Linked DNA regions of Cricetulus griseus. The protein of the gene in region 1 interacts with the protein of each later gene in a pairwise test. Links are inferred from orthologs where the notes say so. Each region holds a gene or a part of one and is shown in the gene's direction. Other genes may lie near its edges. The genes, in order: Junb, Batf3 and Batf.

Evidence for each region.
Region 2: the proteins of Junb (region 1) and Batf3 interact in binary tests that used the Homo sapiens proteins (3 or more experiments, as listed by UniProt). The link is inferred for Cricetulus griseus from reciprocal best matches to the Homo sapiens genes JUNB and BATF3.
Region 3: the proteins of Junb (region 1) and Batf interact in binary tests that used the Homo sapiens proteins (3 or more experiments, as listed by UniProt). The link is inferred for Cricetulus griseus from reciprocal best matches to the Homo sapiens genes JUNB and BATF.

Annotation. Positions count from the first base shown.
Region 1 is NC_048596.1:159,386,331-159,389,955, forward strand, and holds Junb (transcription factor jun-B), read left to right. Parts: upstream 1-1,205; 5' UTR 1,206-1,504; coding exon 1,505-2,542; 3' UTR 2,543-3,042; downstream 3,043-3,625. UniProt on the Homo sapiens protein: Transcription factor involved in regulating gene activity following the primary growth factor response. Binds to the DNA sequence 5'-TGA[GC]TCA-3'.
Region 2 is NC_048598.1:3,915,769-3,918,972, reverse strand, and holds the end of Batf3 (basic leucine zipper transcriptional factor ATF-like 3), read left to right. Parts: intron 1-2,249; coding exon 2,250-2,432; 3' UTR 2,433-2,645; downstream 2,646-3,204. UniProt on the Homo sapiens protein: AP-1 family transcription factor that controls the differentiation of CD8(+) thymic conventional dendritic cells in the immune system.
Region 3 is NC_048598.1:118,099,457-118,103,740, reverse strand, and holds the start of Batf (basic leucine zipper transcriptional factor ATF-like), read left to right. Parts: upstream 1-1,471; 5' UTR 1,472-1,726; coding exon 1,727-1,789; intron 1,790-4,070; coding exon 4,071-4,175; intron 4,176-4,284. UniProt on the Homo sapiens protein: AP-1 family transcription factor that controls the differentiation of lineage-specific cells in the immune system: specifically mediates the differentiation of T-helper 17 cells (Th17), follicular T-helper cells (TfH), CD8(+) dendritic cells and class-switch recombination (CSR) in B-cells.

The DNA of each region.
Region 1 (3,625 bases):
TCGTCGGAGGCTGCAGGCTGAACCATTACTAGATGGGTGAGAGCAGAGAGTGACTCGAGGCGTTTGTAGCTGGGCTGTGACTTCCTCGGGGGTCGCTTGCCCCGGTTCCTCTTCCCAGGAGCAGAATTTGGCAGGGCCCAGGGCAGGGTGCACCGTCCTGTAGGCTCAGAATGACGAGACAGGGCCGGGCTCTTTTCCCCTCGGGGCTGTTGCCACACTTCCTGCCTCGGCTCTCTTTCCCTAGTCTGTTTCTAAGGAAGGGAGTGAGGTTGGGCGACCGCGCCCCAGCTATCCTGCCCCGTCGGCTCTCCAAGAGCTGACAGGGTATCGGGTGAGCCCAGAGTGACTAAGGGAGGACTTTGGGCTTGGAGTACAGGGTATGCAGGTGCCTAAGGACCACCCACGAGGTACAGCCCCATTCGTACAGGTCCCTTGTCTCTGGGATCATCCTCCCCAGCAGATCTCAAAGCTCGGAAGCTGTGCCCTGACCTTTCTAACTCTACATCCGAATTCTTCAGGTGGCCACAGTGACATGTTCCCATCCTCCACCTCTTGTATTACCTCAGTGCACCCAGGACCCTTTCTCACCTTTGCATATCTACGTCGCCCTCCCCGCATTTCCTTCTCATTTCCGCCTATAGGAGAACCCTCAGACTCATCAACGGCCTCTAGAACCCTACTGTTCTTGCACAACAGGCGCCCCTTCCTCCAACCTGTGACAATTCCAGTCTTTCAAGCCCTTTGTATCTGGGACCTCCAGTCAATCCCCGGGTCAAATGTTAACAGATCCCTCCCGATCCTCCCTTTCCTGCTTGCTTGGGGTCTTCTAGCATATTGTCAGTTCTCAGCTACAGGCACTCTGGGTCTCTCGAGACTTCTCCGGCTTATCCCGCGGCGCCCCCTTCCCTGCTTGCTGTGCCAAGCTCTCATAGTCACCGAGGTGTACTCCCGCAGTCCTAACCCGTGTGCCTCAGCCCCTCCACATCCCTTTGCTTCGGCGTCTCCATCGCTGCAGCCCCTCCCCCTGCAGCCGCGCAGAGCCACCCGGCTCGTGGCCGCTGTTTACAAGGACACGCGCTTCCTGACAGTGACGCGAGCCGCCTCCTCCCCTTCCCCACGCTCTAGGAGGGGGCCGCGGGGGCCCGGTTCCCGCGTTGGCCAATCAGAGCGCACTTCCGCAGCTGACAAACTCGGTATAAAAGCTTGGGGCTGGGGCAGCGCGGTGGGGACCTTGAGGGTGGCCGGGCCGGTTTTGGATCCTGCAGGCAGCGGGGAACTGAAGGAAGCGACGCCGAGAAAGCGGGCGCACCACAGAGGCAGAGACGAGGTCTGGAAGCCCGGCAACGCTTTTACGCACAGCTGCCAACCGGCCGCCGCCGGCGGTCTCCAGTTCCCGAGGACGCGCGACCGGACACCGGGTCCCGCCGCAGCCGAGGACAGCTCGCCGCTCGCAGCAGCGAGGCCTGGGGCGGCCCTTCAGGGGGACCTTTCCCAGACCGCCCGGATGTGCACGAAAATGGAACAGCCTTTCTATCACGACGACTCATACGCAGCGGCGGGATACGGTCGGACCCCTGGCAGCCTGTCTCTCCACGACTACAAACTCCTGAAACCCACCTTGGCACTCAACCTGACGGATCCCTACCGGGGTCTCAAGGGCCCGGGAGCGCGCGGCCCGGGCCCAGAGGGCAGCGGGGCAGCAGGCAGCTACTTTTCGGGTCAGGGATCAGACACAGGCGCGTCTCTGAAGCTCGCCTCCACGGAACTGGAGCGTTTGATCGTCCCCAACAGCAACGGCGTGATCACGACGACGCCCACGCCTCCGGGACAGTACTTTTACCCCCGTGGGGGTGGCAGCAGTGGAGGCACAGGGGGCGGCGTCACCGAGGAGCAGGAGGGCTTCGCGGACGGCTTTGTCAAAGCCCTGGACGACCTGCACAAGATGAACCACGTGACGCCCCCCAACGTGTCCCTGGGCGCCAGCGGGGGTCCCCAGGCCGGGCCAGGGGGCGTCTACGCAGGTCCAGAGCCGCCCCCCGTCTATACCAACCTCAGCAGTTACTCCCCAGCCTCCGCACCCTCTGGGGGCGCCGGGGCCGCCGTCGGGACTGGGAGCTCGTACCCGACGGCCACCATCAGCTACCTCCCACACGCACCACCCTTTGCGGGCGGCCACCCGGCACAGCTGGGCTTGGGTCGCGGCGCCTCCGCCTTTAAGGAGGAACCGCAGACCGTACCAGAGGCACGCAGCCGCGACGCCACCCCGCCGGTGTCCCCTATCAACATGGAAGACCAGGAGCGCATCAAAGTGGAGCGAAAGCGGCTGCGGAACAGGCTGGCGGCCACCAAATGCCGGAAGCGGAAGCTGGAGCGCATCGCGCGCCTGGAGGACAAGGTGAAGACGCTCAAGGCTGAGAATGCGGGGCTGTCGAGTACTGCCGGCCTTCTCCGGGAGCAAGTGGCCCAGCTCAAGCAGAAGGTCATGACCCACGTCAGCAACGGCTGCCAGCTGCTGCTGGGGGTCAAAGGACACGCCTTCTGAGCGCCTCCCTCGCTCGCCCCGCACGGACACCCCGGCCGGGAAGGCTGGACGCCCGCCCCCCCCTGGGGTGAGGGGGGCGGGCGATGGGCACCGGCCCGGAGGTCTGGAGCGCCGCGCACACACTGGACTCTGGCTCGCTCGCCTGCGCCCAGTCCTTCCACCTCGACGTTTACATGGCCCCCCCTTCCAGCGTATTTTGTATGTTTTTTTTTTTTTTCTGGGAAGAGACCGGATTCATATTGAATATAATATATTTGTGTATTTAACAGGGAGGGAGAAGGGGGCTACGCTATCGCGGCGGAGCTGGCCCCGCCGCCTGGTACTCAGCCTGCCGGGACACTAGGGAGGGACCTCCGCCCCCTGCCCTCCCCCTCTGCACAGGACTGTGGAGAAGAAACACGCACTTCGTGTCTAGAGTCTATTTTAAGATGTGTTTGTGTGTGTGTGTGTGTTTGACTTTTTATTGAATCTATTTAAGTAAAAAAAATTGTCTTTATTAATTTCTGTGGTCTTTTTTTTTCTTCCAAGCCGGGCGGGTGGAGGGAGAAGAACGGGATGCCCCCAGTCGTCCGCTTTCGTAGCTCCCTCCTTTCAGGTGACTTAAGGTCCAGTGCAAGCACGCAGACCTCTCACGCCGCGCCCCGGCACCCGACGCGGGGCAGGCGGGCCACAGCCGGGAAGAAGCCGCCCGGGACCAAACGCGGAATGTGTAAGCAGCCCCGCCCAGCCCAGCGCGTCGGGGCTTTCCCCGCTGACGCGCCGGAAGCGATGCCCATATATGGGCCTATTCTGCTCAGTGACGCCAGCACGGTCTCCGGGCAGATTCCGGGAATCCCCTCCCCCAGCTCTGCCCGGCAGGGCCGCGGCGCCGGGAAGGGGCCGGGATTTTCCCGGGCGGGCGGCTCTCGGGGCGCGGAAAGCCCCAGGCCTGGGTCCAGGGTGCCCGCGGCGGGAGACTTACGCTCTCCTGGGCCCTGGGAGCCACCCGAGCGTCTCTCAACAGGCTGGCGCCGGAGACCCGCCGCGCCCACGCCCCCTCCATGGGACCTGACCCTGGCGGAGCCCAACTGCGGCCTCGGCGGG
Region 2 (3,204 bases), on another chromosome or scaffold:
GGAGAGAATTCTGGAGAAGCCTTCCTGAGATGGCCCGTGCCTGCAGTCCCTCTTGGGGCCCCGAAAGGGAGGTTTCTAGAGATGGGAAGAAAACAGACAACAGGCTGAGTGGTTGTTAGCACACAGGTTGGACCACTCGAGCTAGTCCAGAAGAGGGTGGCAGAAGTTCCTGGGGCTCGGCATCTCTGACTTTTAGGGAGAGACATTACTTACTATAAGTGGGATCCAACAGTGTACGTCTGTGTAGAGAACTCAGAATGAGAAATGTGAGACCTGTATGTGCTGTGATCCCAGGGAAGCCTTCCTGGAGGTGGTGATCTCATGCTAAGCTCACAGAGAAAAGGAAAGCAATGGGGTTGAGGGGAGCTGCACAGGCTAAGCTGAGGATGCATGCGTGTCTCGGGGGCTCTAAGGCCAGACTTCTTAGCTGATGTTTATTAGAAATGATTAGTATTTGAGAAGTGCCCGGTACGCTTGGGTCACAGTCTAACCAAACAAGTCAGGCTAGGCATGAGTGGAGGTGACCGCTCAGCAAGACTGAAAGACACCCCAGCCTGGAGAGGCTGGTGATGAGCTGTGGACTATGGCCTGGATTAAGAGGGCAAAGGACTAACCAAGTTCCCGGAAGCCATGAGGTTGTGTGACAGCAAGTATCCATGAGCTGACTCCGTGGAGGAGATTCAAATGAACACAGTGGGATTCAGTGGTTGCAGGAAGCCCTGTCTCCAGGCTCTAATTGTCACTTGAGTGGGGACAGCAGCTCCTGCACTTGGAGCTTAGCTTTCTGCACACTCGGGGACGCCTCCTGTGGCTTAGGTCCAGCATGAAGGAGGACGGCATTCCGAGAGTAACATCTCAGCGAGCCGGCAACTTGGAGTGTGTGCCAGGGGTGGTGGCTACAAGGGCAGAGGGGCCAGCAGTCCTTCACAAGAAACTCAGAGGACTCGAGACATTTAGGCTCAGAGAGCATCCAAGGGGGAGGGATGAGTGTGTCGCCCATCATTTCAAGAGCTGAGGTTGCAAAGTACTGAGTTCATCCTGTGTGGCTCCATTGGGTTGAGCCCAGCTCAATGGGTGGGTGTGGAGGAGTTTTCGATCACTACAAAGAGAGTAGAGTATCACAGAAATGGCAGGGACTGTCCCTTGAAGGAAGGGTGCCCAGCCCAAGATGGATGTGTGAGCTAGCTCTGCATATGAGAAGTTCCTCCACAGTTTGGGGGAGATGACAAGAGTTCTTGATCCCCTCCAGTTCTGAGCCTCTTCACCCTGATGCAGTAGACACAGCAGAAGAGTACTGGAAGGGACAGCATGCATCCATGCATCTATCAGTGCAGCCAAAGGCTTGCATCCATGCATTTATCAGTGCAGCCAAAGGCTTGCATCCATGCATTTATCAGTGCAGCCAAAGGCTTGCATCCATGCATTTATCAGTGCAGCCAAAGGCTTGCATCCATGCATTTATCAGTGCAGCCAAAGGCTTGCATCCATGCATTTATCAGTGCAGCCAAAGGCTTGCATCCATGCATTTATCAGTGCAGCCAAGGCATACTGTTCCAGGTACTGCTCTTGGTATTGGGGTGGCCATGAACCCACCAGAGATCTTCAAAAAGCAGGTCAGTATTGGGGATGAGAGCTGGTGTAAATGGTAGGAGGGACCACTTTGGAGCGATGGAGGTGCAAGCTGATGCTTTGTATATCAACACAGGTGTACATACACGTTTGTCACCACTCCCTGAATTACAGACACTTCATAAGACACGTTTCATGATACCCCAGTAGTATTGATTCAAAAGGAAAGCTGTACTGTTAGGACCATTTTATTCCTTTGGGGAGACAGAGCTCTGAAGCCAGTAAACACCAAGGTGACCAAACACCATGGTGCACATCTGAAACCCTAGTACATAGGAAGTGGACAGGAACACGACAAGCTTGAAACTAATCTGAGACACACAGTGAGCACCAGGCTAGCCTGGGATACATGGTGAGCACCTTGCCTGAGACACACAGTGAGCACCAGGCTAGCCTGGGATACATGGTGAGCACCAGGCTTGCCTGAGACACACAGTGAGCACCAGGCTAGCCTGGGATACATAGTGAGACCCTGTCTCAAAATAAAACAAAAGGGAAGAGTTCTGTAGCCCAGGCTGGCCTTGAATTCTTTGACCCTCCTGCCTCTACCTCCCGAGTGCCGGGACCGCTGTCATGCACCTCCACGCCGCCCGTCTCTACCTCTCCTCTCTCTTGGACAGGAGTACGAGTGCCTGGAGCAGGAGAATGCCGTGCTGCGCAGGGAGATTTCAAAGCTGAAGGAGGAGCTGAGGCACCTGAGTGAGGCTCTCAAGGAACATGAGAAGTTGTGCCCCCTGCTTCTGTACCCTATGAACTTTGTGCAGGTTCGGCCAGACCCTGTGGCCGGCTGTCTGCCCCGATGACACCACAGCTCGCTCCTTTTTCATACAGCTTAGAACCTGGGTTTGCACACCCAAGAGTTTCCCTGTACACCTGTGTCCAGGAGTTCCTGTGGCTGTGCCCCTCCTAGGAGCTCTGGGGCCAGCCTGGGCTCATCATGCACTCTGGGGGCACCTGTCCTCAAACCCTAGAGTGGTGGATCCAGAAGGCGGCCCACAAGAGCTACCTGCAGGAGTCACTCCTCGTTCACCTTGGCAGCTAGCCGGTCCTGCCCCGAGGCAGGATCTTCTGTCTGGAATTTGGATAATAAAGATAGTTACCGAGTTTTCTTTGTCCAACTTCTTCTGATGGAGAGCACATAGCGTCCCTCCTCTGGGAAGGTCATGCCACTGCAGTAGGTCCCCCTCCGTTTCATCTCCCCATGTCCATAGCAGATGGGGAAGTACCCTTGGCTGTAGCAGAGGGCAAGGCAGTGGCATTTCCTTTGCCACCGAGGCTTCCAATAAGTCTCTGACCCAGTTTGGTCCTAGTGGGTGAGCTGGCTGTGACTCACACCTGTCTCATGTGTTACCCAGCCTTCTATCTGACCCCCCTCACCTCATTTCAGCCACAGATTTTGTTATTGTTTTTATTTTATTTTATTTTATTTTTTTGAGACAAGATCTTACTCTGTAGCCCAGGCTGTCTTGGAAGTCACAGAAATTCCCCTGCTGTAGAGTTTTAAGTACTGGGATTACTCCCCACTGGTGGCATTGTTTTTGTTTTTCGTTTCTTTCCTTCTTTTCAATAAAATAA
Region 3 (4,284 bases), on another chromosome or scaffold:
AAAAATCTTTTTAAAAAAATTCCACAAGGGTTGAGATTCTTGTTTGGTAAGTTTGGTCACATTGTCACCAGGCAGAATTTTATCAGTGGAACCTGAAATGCTTTTGGGACCATACATACTGTCAGTCCTCAGATTAAGCAAAGGGAGCATTTGGCTTTGAGCCACACTGGGAACATAGCAAGACATTTTATTTTCATGTGTATAAATGTTTTGCCTGCACGTGTGTGTGTGTGTGTGTGTGTGTGTGTGTGTGTGTGTGTGTATGTGTGTGTGTGTGTGTACCCTGTGCATTTCCTAGTACATGAGGAGGCCAGAAGAGGGAGTTGGAGGCCCCAAAACTGAAGCTACAGATGGTTGTGAGCCCCCACGTGGGTGCTGGGAATAGAAAAACACAAGTCCTCTGGGAGAGCAGCCAGTGCTATTGACTGCTGAGCCATCTCTCTTCCCCAAACCTGTTTTAGATCACCAAAGATGAGAATGGGATTCTTCAGGAAAACTACAAACATGCTTTGTCATGGCACATATGACAAGCATGAGCATCTCCATAGCATGCTTTACAGGGTATGGGGGCATTACAATTCAAATTGTTCCTCACTCATTGCAGTAACCCTGAGAGGTAGGCAGGGCAGGTTTTAGGTGGGGGTGGAGGTAGGTTTTCATCACTGTTGATCTGAATACAAGTCCAGAACTTCCCTCACCCATTTTGACATTCACTCCTTGCTGGGTTCTGACCTGGTGACTGACTCCTAAAGATTCAAGGTCAATCTTGAACTCCTGAAGGTCAACCTCTCCACCGAAGGCATCCCTTTTCTTGGGAGAATGTCAGAGCCCTGCTGAGAGGCACAGGTGATGGTAAACTCCACAAGCCCCCTTCCTCTGTTCCTAGCAGTATGCCTCAACTCTGCCACACTTATGCTCCCACCGTGAAACTTTCTAGGAAGCAAGGGACAGGGTGTACACGGTATACATTCCAGAGCCTCTCTGTGACTCTCAGAGAGTCCCAACTTCTTGTTTGGCAGTCTGTAAAAGACAGTGCCCTCCTTCTCCTTTGTCCCCAGAACACCCGCACTGTCCTGTGGGTGACTGAGGAAGGCTCAACCCAAAACAGGGTGGGCAGCTGCTTTCGGGTGAAACCCAGAAAGAGGTCCCGGTCTTGTTGCTTTATTTGTGTTTAAAACTCAAGTCGTGTGCCGGTGGAAACTCTCTCCCGCTGTTCCCCGCTCTCTGCCATGTTGACAGAAGAGGACTTGCTAATTCTGGCTGGGGATTTTCCCTGCCTGGCTGTTTTTCTCTTTTATCTCCATCAATTGAAGAGAGCTTGCTCTGCCTTTCAAACTGCCGGAAGAAACTGGGGTTTTGTGTATTTTTTTTCTTTCACCTAATTCTGTGGTCTTTTCCCAGATATGTATTTTCTCTCGAACTACCTTCTAACTTGTTGACGTTTCCGCCCATGTGACTTCCAGCTTGAATTACCAGAAACCACAAGAGAGAGCGTGTGCGCAAGCCCCAAAGTAAGCGAGATGTCCCTTTGGGGAGCAGTCCCTCTGCACCCCAGAGACAGGAGGACACAGGGGGCCGTCGGAGGTGGCTGCCGGGCAAGCAAGGGAGACACCCGTGGAAGGTGGCGGGCCGGTGGCCCCCTAGCAGTCAGGAAGAGGAGCCAGCTAGTGAGAAGATCGCCCAGGGGCATCTGGGCGGTTGTGGGAGAGTCCGGAAGATTACAGCCATGCCGCACAGCTCCGACAGCAGCGACTCCAGCTTCAGCCGCTCTCCTCCCCCTGGCAAGCAGGTACCCCTACATCCCCTGCCTTCTAAATACCCTGGGGTGGTGGAAGAGGGCCACACTCCCCAGTTCTGCCTGGGGAGCTTTTGGGGGGGGGAGGAAGTAGCTCTCTACTTGGCGGGGTGCTCTCTAGCAGAGTCTGGATGTGGTATTTGCTATTCGGAGGTACAAGTGGCAAAGCCTTCATCCCGCCACAAGCCCCCTTCCTCTGTTCCTAGCAGTGTGCCTCATCTCGGCCACACTTAGGTTCCCACTGTGAAACTTTCTAGGAAGAAAGGGTCAGGGTGAATATCACAGAACTTAGAGGAAGGGTTCATACCGCTAGCAGAGGAATCTGTCAGTAGGCTGCTGGCGGACTCCACCCAAATCCTAGATCTGTAGCTTTCCAGGAAGAGCCAAGGGGCCAGACAGAACCGAGGTTAGGGAAGAGAAATACAGTAAGCCAAAGCAAGGTAGGGAGGAAGGAAAGGATAACTAATCTACCGGCCCAGGGACGGCCTCTGTGACTACAACAGTCAGTGGGGAGGGAGGCTGAAGTCACAGCCAGCGTCTTTCCCTGAGGCTTCCAGAGAGGAGAAAGAAGGCAGTGGCTCTGGAGGTTTGTTGGAGACCTGAACTAGAAGCTAACATCATCTTTGGGAAGCCGGGGACGGAGGGAAGGATTCTGGGAGTCTTAGAGCCTTGATTGCCAAACCTAGATGCTTCAGCGCAGGAGAGATGCCTCAGATGGGATGCCCTTCCCACCTTGAAATTTCTGGAGCTCTCTCTACCACATTCTTGACACCCTTGCTCTAGAAAACTCTCTTCCTCATCCAGCATAGACCCACTGGATTAAGCTTTTCTACATCTCAGTAACTTAAAAACTTCATCCTCTCCTTAGCACACATATAGGGCAGGGCATATCGCTCAAGGGCAGAGTGCTTTCCTTACACATATCCCAGGGGCTTGCAAAATGCTGCAGCCAAAATAGAAATATGCAGCCACCCCTTACCACATCTGTCATAGGCCATCATCTGCTATTACACCTACTGTAAGCTCCTAACCAAAAAGCCGTACCGGTGAAGACCTCTACAGGAAAATAGTCAGTCCCTTGGTCACAATGGTATTGGAGTGGCTCAGACTGTGTGGAAGATGGTACCATACTCTTCTTAAGAAGGAAATTACTCAGAGTTCCATGGTAAACTCGTCCCCTGCAGCATTATGAGAAGGGTGCTTCCTTGCTCTATTTCACCAAATGTCTGCCTGCTAGAATGATCTGGAAGTTTTGGATAAAGAGGGAAGAGGGTCAGAGCCTGGCCCCAGGATTTGTGACCTCTCTGACAAGGTAGGAGTTGCTGAAGGGCTTCTCTTAGTGTCTTCACTGACCTGCAAAGCTAGAATGAACCTCCCTGATCTTCTTTAGGACTTACTTACATCCAAAGCATGCTTTGTCTTCCAAAGTCCACATTAGTAGCTCTCTAAAGCAGGTGGCTTCCACCTCAACTCATAGACTTATTTATGGCCCCTCATTGTAGCAGGCATCAAAGGTCTGGACTAGAAAGGTCTCAAGATGGCTGCACAATAAAGGGGATGAAGGAAAGAGAGATCTGGGGTGGGGCCCTCTGCCTAAGGGTGCAGCACAAGAAAATTGCTGGTGGAGAGGGGATTCAGGCTTTAGAATCAGCACCAGGAGATGTCATATCCATGGATGGCCATGAGCTCAAGGACCAGCGTGGCAAGCCTCAGCTTCATCCTGCGTAAAATAGATATGACTGTACCTGCTCAGAGAGCTGGGGGATTGTAGCATAGTATCTCTGAAAGCACTTGTACAGACATTGGCACATAATGGATGCTCAACAAAGTTTTCAAGAAAAAAAGAAAACAGCAAAAGGAACACCAAGAAGGCAGGCGCACACACACACACACACACACACACACACCCCAGATAGAGAATGTGGGGGTAGAATAGCTCTGGAGAGAGCAGAGGTGATGGGACAGATATCATTGTCTTATCTGAGGCTTCCCAAAGCAGCCCTCCTGAAGCCTTGATGTAGCTATTTCTTCATGTAGCTTTTGATGAAAAGAAGGCCATGGGCAACCTGAGGGCCGGTAGCAGGGAATGCTGAAGGAAATGTCTTTGGGTGCAGGCTTTTTGTAAATAAGAGTATGGTTGGTACAGAAGGAACTGAGGACCAGGAAGGAACGAAGGAACGAAGGAAGGAAGGAAGGAGTCAGTTAAACGATAGAACCCATTTTGACTGGAAGAAAGGGATGGACCTACCTAGTTCTTGCTTTCACTGCTTGTTAGGACTCATCCGACGATGTAAGAAAAGTTCAGAGGAGGGAGAAGAACCGCATTGCTGCCCAGAAGAGTCGACAGAGGCAGACACAGAAAGCCGACACCCTGCACTTGGTGAGTACCCAGACTTCTTATGGTGCTCTTGTGCCTTAGGCTCTTCACCCCACGTCAGTGGGGCTGTGAGAGCCAGCTGTGATGGTTCTGCTGTGGTGGAGTTATGTAC